Linked DNA regions of Macaca fascicularis. The protein of the gene in region 1 interacts with the protein of each later gene in a pairwise test. Links are inferred from orthologs where the notes say so. Each region holds a gene or a part of one and is shown in the gene's direction. Other genes may lie near its edges.

Region 1 (6,623 bases):
TCACTTTAGAAATGGCCTAAATGTAGGACTGATTTCACTTGCTCCCCACTCACAGGTCCTTATTATTATTATTATTATTATTGTTATTATTATTTGAGACGGAGTCTCGCTCTGTAGCTCAGGCTGGAGTGCAGTGGCATAATCTTGGCTCACTGCAACCTCTGCCTCCCGGGTTCAAGCAATTCTCCTGTCTCAGCCTCCCTAGTAGCTGGGACAACAGGCATGTGCCACTGCGCCCAGCTAATTTTTGTATTTTTAGTAGAGATGGGGTTTCATCATATTGGTCAGTCTGGTCTCGAACTCCTGATCTCAGGTGACCCACCCACCTTGGCCTCCTAAAGTGCTGGGATTACAGGCGTGAGCCACCGCGCCAGCCTATTTTATTATTATTATTTTGAGATAGTGTCTTATTCTGTCACCAAGCCTGGAGTGCAGTGGTGCAATCATAGCTCACTACAGCCTCACCCCCCTGCGCTGAAGCGATATTCCCACCTCAGCCTTCTGAGTAGCTGGACTACAGGTGCACGCCACCATGCCTGGCTAATAAAAAAAAAAAAATTATGGAAATGTGGTCTTGCTTTGTTGTCCAGGCTGGTCTCAAATTCCTGGCTTCAAGCGATCCTCCCACCTGAGCCTCTCAAAGTTCTGGGATTACAGGCGTGAGCCACCATACCTGGCCTAAGGACCCTTATTGCTCAATGTATCTATAAAGTACCTACCCCTTTACATGTGTGCTTTGTCCAGAAAATGGTCTCAGGACAGCCCTGAGGACAGATTATGGCAAAATCTCAACATAGTTTCTGTTACTCAATGCTCAATTGTTTATCTTTTGTCATTTGTTCAGTTGATTTGTTGATTCTTGTTTTTTGGCAACTAGAAAGTCATTTAGCAAATATTAGGTTAATAAAAATGTGTAGGTCTGTAGGTTTTAAAGAAAAGAATGTGGACACTAGTATCTTATTACTGTTTTGCTGCTTCTCTCAGAATTATCCTTATTTCCTATAGTGTTAATTAGTCATATTTTGGTCTTATTATACTCCAATAAAGGTAAAGAGGTTGAACTTGGGGCTCACACCTGTAATTCCAGCACTTTGGGAGGCCAAGGTGGGAGAATCGCTTGAGGCCAGGAGTTCAAGACCAACCTGGGCAAAACATGGTGAGACCTCCCCCACCCCAATCTCTATTGAAAAAAAGAATTTTTTTTTTTTTTTTTTCCGAGACAGTCTCGCTTTGTCGCCCAGGCTGGAGTGCAGTGGCAGGATCTCGGCTCATTGCAACCTCCATTTCCCGGGGTAAGAGTCTCCTACCTCAGCCTCCTGAGTAGCTGGGATTACAGGCACGCACCACCATGTCTAGCCAATTTTTGTATTTTTAGTAGAGATGGGGTTTCACCATGCTGGCCAGGCTGGTCTCAAACTCCTGACTGCGTGAGCTACCTGCCTCAGCCTCCAAAAATGCTGAGATTTACAGGCGTGAGCCACCGTGCCTGGCTGAAAATTTTAAAATTAGCTGGGCATGGTGGCACATCCCTGTAGTCCTCACTACTCAGGAGGCTGCGGTGGGAGAATTGCTTGAGCCCAGGGGTTCGAGGTTGCAGTGAGCCATGATCATGGCACTGCACTCCGGCCTGGACAACAGAGCAAGACCTTGTCTCAAATAAATAAATAAATAAGAAGAAATTTGAAAAATACATATATATTCTTAATAAATTTGTGGTTTTATTGAGTTATTAGAGTCCCATGCCATAGGCCCTTCAAAAGCACATGTCCTCCCAAGAAAACTTTAATTACAGTAACAAGCAGTAAATTGATAAAAGAACCAGAGGGCCAGGGTACACAGGAATTGTTTTATTGTCTTTTCCATGTCTCAGGCATTCTATAATTGTCTACTTCATCCATGTTCTGAAGCTAATTAGTTATTCCATCCCCAGGATAAAGTTAGGCCTCTTAGTTTTAACTTCGTATTTGCAGGTTTGACCTAATTCCTTGCCAGCTCATAATATAATTAAGGTTGGCATTCCTTCTCTTATCCACCCTCCCCACTCCCCGGCCTTCCCTCCCAGCTGTGTGCCTGTTTATCACTAGATGGTGCTAAGACTTGGGTTATAGCTGCCAGAGACTCCAGGAAAGTTGTTTGGGAGCCAAGCAGGCTGGAATTTGAGAACTGGAAGATGCCTTCAGAGCTCATCCGGGCAGCACTTTTGTTTTACAAATGAGGAAACAGAAACTCAGTGAAAATAAGTAATTTGTCAGAGCCCCAGAGATCTCTCCCCTCCTTTTTTTTTCTCTCTTATCTGTTAATAGCTTCCAGTGTTACCTCATCACCCAGGAAGGAGCACAGCTCAGAGAGCAACAAGGTCAGAGTTGCTTTGCAGAAAGCACTTTGGCAGCTGCATGGTACCATTCATTGATTCATTCATTCATTCCAAAAGCAGTTATTGGGTACCTACTTTTTGCTTTGCATGGTGCTATGTTGGGAATAAAAATCAGATGAGAATTCCTAGGATTCTAGGAATTCACATTCTCTTAGGAAATTCAGAAATGCAAAAAAAAAAAAAAAAAAAAAAAAAGAAAAGAAAAAAAGAAAAATCACCCCCTAAATCAAAGATGCTATCATAGAGGTGATTATAGGACACTCTGGTCACTTGGAGGAGTTTGCAGCCAGCTGCATTCGTAATTCAAAGGGAAGATTTTGGTGAACTAACATTGGAGGCTGAAGGGCACGTCGGATCTTGTAGGCAGAGGAACAGGAGGAAGGGCAGTCTGGGCAGAGAGCATCATGGGGGAAGGCTTGGAGAGCTAGTGAGGCTTGCTGGAGAGAGCAGCTGATTGTAGCTAATGACCAAAGGGCAGGGTCAAAGGGGCAGGTGGTAATCTGGAAAGGAGGGAACAGACTGGAAAATACTTCATCCGAGGTGTCATGCTTAGGAATCTGTACTTTATCCTGAAGGCTACAGGACAACCCAGTAAAGCGTATTGCTCGGAAAATGGCATGGATGGAGTTTCTTTTCAGGAAGAACACTCTGACAGCTGCATGGAAGCCCAGACACCAGGAAAGCCTCAGATTGGAGGCTGGCGTCCCGGAGCAGTGCGAGGTAAGGGCCTGGCTGGGTTGGGGCAGTGGGAATGGGAGGAGGAGACCTGTTGGAGAGAAATTTCAGGAGCAGGACTGACAACATCTTTTTGAAAAACAGTGATTGGGATTGTAACTAATATTCCTAGAAGATGGTTACCACTCTGGTATTTGAATTACTTATAAAACACTGAAGGGATGAAATTTTAATTGAATACACATATTACTTGGATACAATGTTTGAAATTATTTTAAAAATGCAACTTTATGGCAGTATAGTAATCCTCTCTTATCCACAGTTTTGCTTTCTGAGGTTTCAGTAACCCTCTTGCCTCACTGCAACCTCTACCTCCCAGGTTCAAGTGATTCTCGTGCCACAGCCTCCCAAATAGCTGGGATTACAGGTGCGCACCATCACACCTGGCTGATTTTTGTATTTTTAGTAGAGACAGGGTTTGCCGTGTTGGTTAGGCCCCAAGGTCCAAAAATATTAAATGGAAAATTCCAGAAATAAACAATTCATAAATTCTAAGTTGCATGATGTTCTAAGTAGCTTGATGAAATCTCAGCCAGGCACGGTGGCTCACACCTGTAATCCCAGCACTTTGAGAGACTGAGGCGGGAGGATCATTTGAGCTCAGGAGTTTGAGACCAGCCTGGGCAAGACCCTGTCTGTACTAAAAGAAAAAAAAAAAAGTAGCCATATGTGGTGGTGTGCACCTGTAGTCCCAGCTATTCCAGACAGAAAATTAAAGAACAATAATAATAATAATAAAGGCGCCAAAAAGCTCCCAGGGAGTAGCAGGTAAGCCCAGCTGCCAGAATTCGCTTCCGGAAGCTCATCCTTATTCCTTGATGATCTATATATATGACTGGCTAGTACTTCCACTCCTTCCGCTTGAAAATATTTTACCTGTGGGAAACATTATTGTTATTATTTTTATTATTTTGAGGCAGAGTTTCACTCTGTTGCCCAGGCTGGAGTGCAGTGGCACAATCCTGCCTCACTGCAACCTCCACCTCCCAGGTTCAAGTGATTCTCGTGCCACAGCCTCCCAAGTAGCTGGGATTACAGGTGCACACCATCACGCCCGGCTGATTTTTGTATTTTTAGTAGAGACAGGGTTTTGCCGTGTTGGTTAGGCCGGTCTTGAACTCCTGGCCACAAGTGATCCACCTGCCTTGGCCTCCCATAGTGCTGGGATTACAGGTGTGAGCTACCGCACCTGGCCTAGGAAAGATTATTTTGATCACATGGCTGTCTTCTGGCCTTCTGGCCCTCAGTACCATGGTGCAAATTGTTTTATGATCGTCCCCGGGTAAAGTGGATGCTGGGTCCATCGTCCTTCCTGCCGCCTGCAATACATCCTTGGGAACATCCAGACCAGCCATTTGCCCTGGTCAGCATTGTTTCATTTATGAGATTGGTAATTAACAAATTAATTATCTAAGGTTGCGTGGTGAGAGAGGGAAAGACATTGAGATAGAAGGTTAATAGTGTCAGAGATGTCCTGACCAGAGAGACTCCATCCTGAATAAAGGCTAAGTAAAGCCAATCCTGCTGGGCAGCATTCCCAGGGGGTTGACACTGTTGGTCACAAGATATTTATGGTTGAGGGGATGAGTTAATGATGCTAACTTACCAAATAAAGACCCAGAACTTATGGAAACGTCCCAATATTTCAAGAACAAAAAGCATTCTTAGTTTAAGAATAGATTTTACTTTAAAGATAATAGTACACACATAAATTCTTGTGGAAATCAGTAGTAACATAGGAAAATAACAATACTAATAGCCCGTCACAAGCTGATCAAAAGTCTTTGTAATGAAGTATGCTATTCTTAACAACCTATATAAGCAAGCACTATGTTTAAGGTGAGGCATTCTTGGCCAGGCATGGTGGCTCACGCCTGTAATCCCAGCACTTTGGGAGGCTGAGATGGATGGATCTCTTCAGCTCAGGAGTTGAAGACCAGCCTGGCCAACATGAAAAAACCTTATCTTTACAAAAGATACAAAAGTTAGCCAGCCATGGTGGTGTGTACCTGTAACTCAGCTACTTGGGAGGCAGAGGTGGAAGGATTAATTGAGCCTAGGAAATTGAGGCTATAGTAAGCCATGATAGTGCCACTGTACTCCAGCCTCAGTGACAGAGTGAGATCTTGTATCTAAATAAATAAATAAATAAATAAAAATTTTAAAGTAGGGGCATTCCTCCTTTTGCTTTCTGAGGAAGCCTTACTCCATAATAGTCTCTAACAAACTATCTTAACTTTGCTGTACTCTGCAACTTGCCCTGAATTCTTTCCCGAGAAAGTGAGATCTAAGAGCCCACTCTTGGAGTCTGGGACAAGACCCATTTTCTGGTAACAGCAGTGGTAATGAATGAACATATGTAATTTAATTATCATTTGGATATCCAGTTTGATTTTCTTTTTTTAAATTTTTAAAAATTTTTGAGACAGAGTTTCACTCTTGTTGCCCAGGCTGGAGTGCAATGCATGATCTTTGGCTCACTGCCACCTCCTCCTCCCAGGTTCAAGCGATTCTCCTGCCTCAGCCTCCTGAATAGCTGGGATTACAGGCATATGTCACCATGCCCAGCTAATTTTGTATTTTCAGTAGAGATGGGGTTTCGCCACGTTGGTCAGGCTGGTCTTGAACTCCTGACTTCAGGTTATCCACCTGCCTCTGCTTCCCAAAGTGCTGGAATTACAGGTGTGAGCCACTGCCCCAGTTTGATTTTCTAAATTTTACTCTGCCTTTATAGAATTTCCTAGGGAGGAATTAAGGGAGCTCCACCTGCCCCGCTTGTTTTTATTTTATTTCATTTTTGAGACAGAGTCTCACTCTGTTGCCCAGGCTGGAGTGCAGTGGCGCAATCTCAGCTCACTGCAACCTCTGCCTCCTGGATTCAAGCCATCCTTCCTCCTCAGCCTCCTGAGTAGCTGAGACTACAGGCATGCACCACCACACCTGGCTAATTTTTGTATTTTTAGTAGAGACAAGGTTTCACCATGTTGGCCAGGCTGGTCTCCAACTCCTGACCTCAAGTGGTCTGCCTGCCTCAGCCTCCCAAAGTGCTGGGATTACAAGTGTGAGTCACTGCATTTGGCCTTGATTTTATTTTAAATGTTTGTGGGGAACATGGAGATGAAACTAATGGTTCCGTTTGTAGTGACCTACACAGTTGCCCTCCCACTGTAACTGGTGTATGACTTCCGCGGGTGTGGGAGAAGTGTTGCCTGTGGGAAATTTCTAAGGCTGATGTAGACAACATAATCTCAGGGTCTGTAGCAGCTCAGCAGGAATGAATGAGCCCCCTGCTGGAGTTTCTGAGAGCTTTGTGAAAACAGCTATAATTAGTATCTCCTTAGTGAGACTCTTTTTATGCTTTAACTAAAGTCATTCGTTCCATTTTAACTGCATGAAGCAAATGCTGGAGGAAGGAGGGTGAGGAACGCGGCCTTTTCTTAAGTCTAGAAGTGGAAGCAGACAACATACTCAAGCTGAGAATATACATTAGTAAACTATTTTTGGTGTGTGTCTT
Region 2 (6,047 bases), on another chromosome or scaffold:
TTATTTAATCATCATGAAAAGTGAATGTTCGATGATGTTAGCATCCTAGGGTCATATTAGACATTAAACTGTCAGGGTCAGAGAGCTGGTGTGAAGTTGAGCCAGGACTTAGCTATTTCACCACTGAGTTTATTCATGCTTTTCCATTATACTCCTTAACACTTCCTGTGATGACTAATTAAGTTGTACATTGTAGGGAGGGTTATTAGACCCATTTCATAACGCTATTCTCTATAAATAAGAATTTTCAGTGTTCAGTATGCCCTACTCATTACTCACTTTTTAATCCCTAGTAATCCAGTTTAAGCCATTACTGCCCTAAAAATTACTTAGAACTTTCTGATTACTTTTTCTCAGTCATTGTTCTTTTTCTTTAGTGTTTACTGCAGCTGACTTTCAGGCAGCCTTTGCTTCCACAAAATGAGGCCTCATTCTCTTTTTCTACTCTGTCTTTAAATGTAGTTAAACAAGTCATTGGCCCCCTTGTTTATCACTCAGCACTCTTTCATGTCTCATCGCTGGGAGGATAACTCCCAAATCTGGTTTTCCAGTTCTGCCTCTCATGAGTCCCTCAATTCTGGCTTCTTCGGTAAAATATTTCTAACTGGTTTTTCTGCTCTCACAATAACTCGAGACAGCTAACAAAACAAAAAGCAAGCTAATTATTCCCCTCAATCTCCTCTTCTCCTTTTTTATTATTATTTTTTGAGACAGAGTCTCACTCTGTCACCCAGGCCGGAGTGCAGTGGTGCAATCTTGGCTCACTGCAACCTCCGCCTCCTGGGTTCAAGCTTTCTGCCTTAGCCTCCCGAGCAGCTGGGATTACAGGTGCCTGCCACCATGCCTGGCTAACTTTTCTATTTTTAGTAGAGATGGGGTTTCACCATGTTGGCCAGGCTGGTCTCGAACTCTTGACCTCAGGCAATTTGCCCGCCTCAGCCTCCCAAAGTGCTGGGATTACAGGTGTGAGCCACCGTGCCCGGCCTCCTCTGCTCTCCTTTAAAATACTTTTTATAATTATGCCATGATTCTGCTCATTTAAGTTCTAAATCTTGGATGTCATAATTGGTTTTCCCAGTTCCTAACACATTTACGTAGGTATAACAACTTGTCTATTTTGTGTGTTTGTGACAATTTCGGATTTACCTGTTCACCCTGTTACCTTACTATTGCATTAGTAGTATTAGAACAGTGTTTCCATCCCATTTCATGTACTGTTATTGTCAGAGTAGTCTTCCTGAAACCCCACTTTGTAAATGGAACTTTTCTCTCTCTTGCATCTTTTTAAAAGACCAGATCTCCTGCTAATGCCCAGGCACCATCATAGCTCTCTGCAGGGTTCAAGCAGTCCTCCCACCTCAGCCTCCTGGTAGTTACAACTACAGGTCATTCTTGCTCAGAAAACCTTCGTGATTTCTTGCTAAAATTCCAAAATCTTTAGCTTAGCATTTGGGATTTTCTACAGTAGGAACCCTGTCCATCACATAAACCTTATGTCACTACGTGTGTTTGTGCAAAAATGGCTGCCTGAATGAGTTGCTTGAATGTACTATTTGAATTATTACCTGTTTGCCATTGCATGCTGTTTATATTACCTGGAATGCCATCCTTTTCTACGTGAGAGCTTTAGCATAAATCCCTCCTCAGTGAAAATAGTGGTTAAAGTTTTCTGAGTGCTTACGTCTGTGAGGCACCATGCCTTTAATTTCCACTATTGCATTGAAGCAGTGGTTATAGTTATCAATCAAGCCTTTTACAGTAAAATATACACACCCAAATATACACACCTTGTAACACAGGTACTGTTACCATCAACTTGGATTTGGAGAATTTTCCTAAGATCACATACCTAGTAAGTAGCAAGAGTGGGTCTCTGTCTCATGTAATTCCAGAGCCCAGGTGCTTAGTCATACTCTAGTGCCATAGCAGTTATAGCTAACACTTACTAGAGGACCAGTTACATGTCAGGGACTGCTATAAGGGCTTTACATATTTGATTCTTTGAACACCCTATTGAGGTAGCAACTGAAGTGATCTCTGTTGTATTTATGATGAAATTGAGGCCTTGAGAAGTAACTACCCACAGTCTCATATCTGCTAACTGGGAAAGCCAGAATTAGAACCCAGGCAGTCTGCTTTTGGAATTCATACTGTAAATTTCTTTGATAAGCTGTCAAATTGTACAGCCACAGAGGAAAAAATTTACTGTTTGTCCGTTTGTCATTGTATAAGGACTTGGGTATAAAGAAATAAGCATTATATAGGCGTTACATAAGGACTTGGCTATAAAGAGAAAGAAAGATAAATCCCATCTTCTCGAAACTCCTAGAGCTTGTGTTGTAGTACCGCTGTCTGTAGTTAACCCTCAAGGGCTCAGACGTGGTGTTTAGTTGTTCTGTATTAGTAGTACCTTGCACAAGTAAGCATTTAATGTGTTGGTGATGATAATTCATTGACTTTTCTGTTACCTCCTGCCAAGGAGACTTTGCCCTGATTTAGGCTTATTAATAATTTGTTTTTCCAGGCAACTTGTAACCAGGGGTTCATTCTCTTGCCGCTCATCTTTCCTCTTCCCATTTGAATCATGTTTTGTTGACATCTAGAGTATTTGATCCCAGTATGTGCTATGGAGCATTCTTCTATTTGTAGGGATAGGATTACCACCCTGGAGAATTAATGTTTTTTTTCTTTTTTCCTCAGTACTGTACTGGCAATTGCTGGAGAAGATTTTGCAATTGTTGCTTCTGATACTCGACTGAGTGAAGGGTTTTCAATTCATACCCGGGATAGCCCCAAATGTTACAAATTGTAAGTAAATATTTCTGAAGACATTTCACAATGCCTTTGTAATGATTTAATGCTGTGAGAGTTTCTACTTCTAAATGATTTGTTTCATGAGTTTTTAAGTTGCTGTTGGGAGCATTTTTATTAGAAAATCATTTTCTAAGTTAATGTTTCCTAATAATTCAATGTGCAGTCTTAAAAATATTTGCTATATTCAGGGTACCAAAAGTGCTTTCGGTAACTTAAATGTGTTCACCCCAGCATTTTACCATGAAAATTTTCAAATGTGCAACAAAAGTAAGAGAGTTTCATAATGAAAACCCGTATGCCATCACCTAGATCTTACTGTTTGTATTTTACTATAATTACTTTGTCACTTTTTCCATCTATACATTTGTCTTAGTCCATTTTATGCTGCTGTAACAGAATGCCACACACTAGGTAACTTATAATGGACAGAAATTTATTGATTTACAGTTCTAGAGGCTGCGAAGTCCAAGATTGAGGGGCTGGCATCTGGTGAGGGCTTTCCTGCTGTGTCTTAACATGGTGGAAAGCCAGAGAGAGAGAAAGAAGAGCGAGCGAACCCACTCCTGTGATAATGTCCATTCATGAGGGCTGAGCCCTCAGGACCTAAACACCTGGTCCCAACTCCCAGTACCATCACAATGGCAATTAAATTTCAACATGAGTTTTGAAGAAAGCATTCAAACCATAGCACCATTAATCATTAAATGGTATTTTTTAAAAATCTGCCTCCCCACACTGTTTTTTTTAACTTGAAACATTCGTTTTAGAAATACCCTAAGCCATTATATCCATAGCTCAGTTTTAATAGGCTAGCTGTGTTTTTCCTAAAACATGAAAATAAAGCCAAAACTTAAAAAAAAAAAAAAGCCTGCATAAATCAGCTAAATACATACTGCAGATTAGTAGTGGTCTGTATTTAACAGTTTTGGAAATACTTATAAATGGTCATGAATTCCTGGGTTAGTTACAAAAGTCTATTAAACTTGAATTGTAATAGGAATGAATGGGACTTAGGAGGTTTAGGTCCTTTGGACAGGCCGTCCTTGTACTGTAGGAAGTAGGTACAGAAGAAAAGATACGTTTTCTTCCCTGGTCCCAGGGATAGCCCACATCTTATCCCAAAAAGCAGTGAAGTTTGTTTGCATCTTCCCGGTTCTCTTTCTGTCCACTTGCATCTTCTGATACCGTCTTTCTGCTTTCTGTTCATAGTGTTCTCGTGTTATCTTTTTTTCTCCTCGAGGATGACACTTGTACAACTTGAAAGTAGTAAATATTAGAAATAAGATTTTAAAACAACTTTATGGATACCATCCTTGTACTGGCTTTTACTCATCTTTTAAATGTTGCTTTAGTTACGTTTGCTGCTGAAGTGAGCACTTTTTTTTTTTTTTTAATGAAACACATCAGATATAGAGATAGAGAATAAGAACAATACAGCATTAACGAATGCCTGTATATATCTCTCATCCCATGTCCTGTGGGGCGGACCTAGAACTAGGGGTGCCTCTTCCAAACCTGTTGGAGACTATATTCTTTGCATGAAAACTCCCATTCCTTTGGTGGTACCTGGATATTTGGGAAAAGCATCTTGAAGTTCTAAGATTTCTGTCTTTCCCTGTTGGTATTGTCAGCCAATCTTGTTAGTAAAGGCAGTAAAGCCTTGTAGGGGATTGGAGTCTTCACCTCAGTGCAGTGAGGTTGGTGGTAGGGATAGAGTTGATGTTAGTGATGACCCTAGAGGTGTCGGCTGCTCTCCTAGTAGGACAAGTATGGTTTGTGCGGGTCATTCATAAGTTTCCAAAAGGAGTTGTGGCCTCTGCAAAATATTGTGTAGGTTTCTTTATAGATTCATATAAAGATCTAGGAATTAATTTTTGAATTACATGGTTGAATTTGTATGTCTATGCCAAATTTTAGTCCTTTCCATACAGATGGACATTTGGCTTTTGTTTTGTTTTGTTTTCTTATGGGGTGCTATTTAAATGAATGCTCACTAGTGAGTCTAGAGCATCCCTCTGCATGCTGGCATAAGTATATTGACAAGATGGATGTCTAGCAGTAGAATTGGTGAAAGTGGTGTGTATTTAAAATTTTAATGGATACCACCAAATTGCCCATCTAACAAGTTAATCAGTTTATACTATTTCCACAACCTCACCAGCATTTAGTTAGGCGTTTTTAGCCATTATGATTGGTTGAAATAGTCTCTTTTTTAGATTTGGATTTCTGAGTAACATAGAGGCTCTTATGTTTATGGTGACTTAATGTCTCTTTTTTCTGTGACTTGTCTGTTCATAGACTGTTACCCTTCTTTTCTTTGTGTCGTTACTGCTTTTCTTATTTGTAAGAACTCTTTGCAGAATTAAAACTAGACTTTGATGGTAGGTGCTACCAGTATATTTTCTTAGGGTTTTAAAAAGCTATTCATAAATTTCTCTGTAGAGTTTTATGTAGTCAAATTTATGAAATTTTTCTGTGTGGCCCTTGGATTGTGTTATATTTAAATCTACCTTCATGAGGCTGGGTGCAGTGGCTCACACCTGTAATCCCAGCACTTTGGAGGCCAAGGCTGGCGGATTACCTGAGGTCAGGGGTTCAAGACCAGCCTGACCAACATGGTGAAACCCCATCTCTACTAAAAATACAAAAATTAGCTGGGCTGGTGGCGGGCGCCTGTAATCCCAGCTACTTGGGAGGCTGAGGCAGGAGAATTTCATGAATACAGGAGGTGGAAGTTGCAGTGAGCCAAGATTGTGCCACTGCATTCCAGCCTGGGTGGGTGACAAGAGTGAAACTCCATCTCAAAAATCAATCAACCAACCTACCTACCTATCTTCCCCAGCCCAAGATAGTAAAAAAATTCACCCATGATTTATTTAGTCCATTCATAGTTGCATTTTTAAAGTCTTTGATCCACCTATAATTCATCTGGACTGAGGGGTGAGATGTAGGAATACAGAACCCCCTCCCCAGAAGGGTGGCTGCTTGTCCCATTACCGTTTAGGACATAATGGGAATAGGGGTTTTAAATTTAAAATTGCCGAAGATATGCTTTGCTGTACTGTCTAACCAGCTCCGTTTTCTGAAATATGCTTTTTACAGAACAGACAAAACAGTCATTGGATGCAGTGGTTTTCATGGAGACTGCCTTACCCTGACAAAGATTATTGAAGCAAGACTAAAGGTAGATGCTTTTATACATTTCTACACTATTTCAAATTAATAGCAGTTCA

The links. The genes of interacting proteins can lie anywhere in the genome.
Region 2: the proteins of KIFC3 (region 1) and PSMB1 interact in binary tests that used the Homo sapiens proteins (3 or more experiments, as listed by UniProt). The two-hybrid records come from large-scale screens. The link is inferred for Macaca fascicularis from reciprocal best matches to the Homo sapiens genes KIFC3 and PSMB1.

The regions. Positions count from the first base shown.
Region 1 is NC_088394.1:53,965,465-53,972,087, reverse strand, and holds the start of KIFC3 (kinesin-like protein KIFC3), read left to right. Parts: upstream 1-2,890; 5' UTR 2,891-2,986; coding exon 2,987-3,094; intron 3,095-6,623. UniProt on the Homo sapiens protein: Minus-end microtubule-dependent motor protein. Involved in apically targeted transport. Required for zonula adherens maintenance.
Region 2 is NC_088378.1:519,007-525,053, forward strand, and holds part of PSMB1 (proteasome subunit beta type-1), read left to right. Parts: intron 1-2,700; coding exon 2,701-2,808; intron 2,809-5,916; coding exon 5,917-5,998; intron 5,999-6,047. UniProt on the Homo sapiens protein: Non-catalytic component of the 20S core proteasome complex involved in the proteolytic degradation of most intracellular proteins. This complex plays numerous essential roles within the cell by associating with different regulatory particles.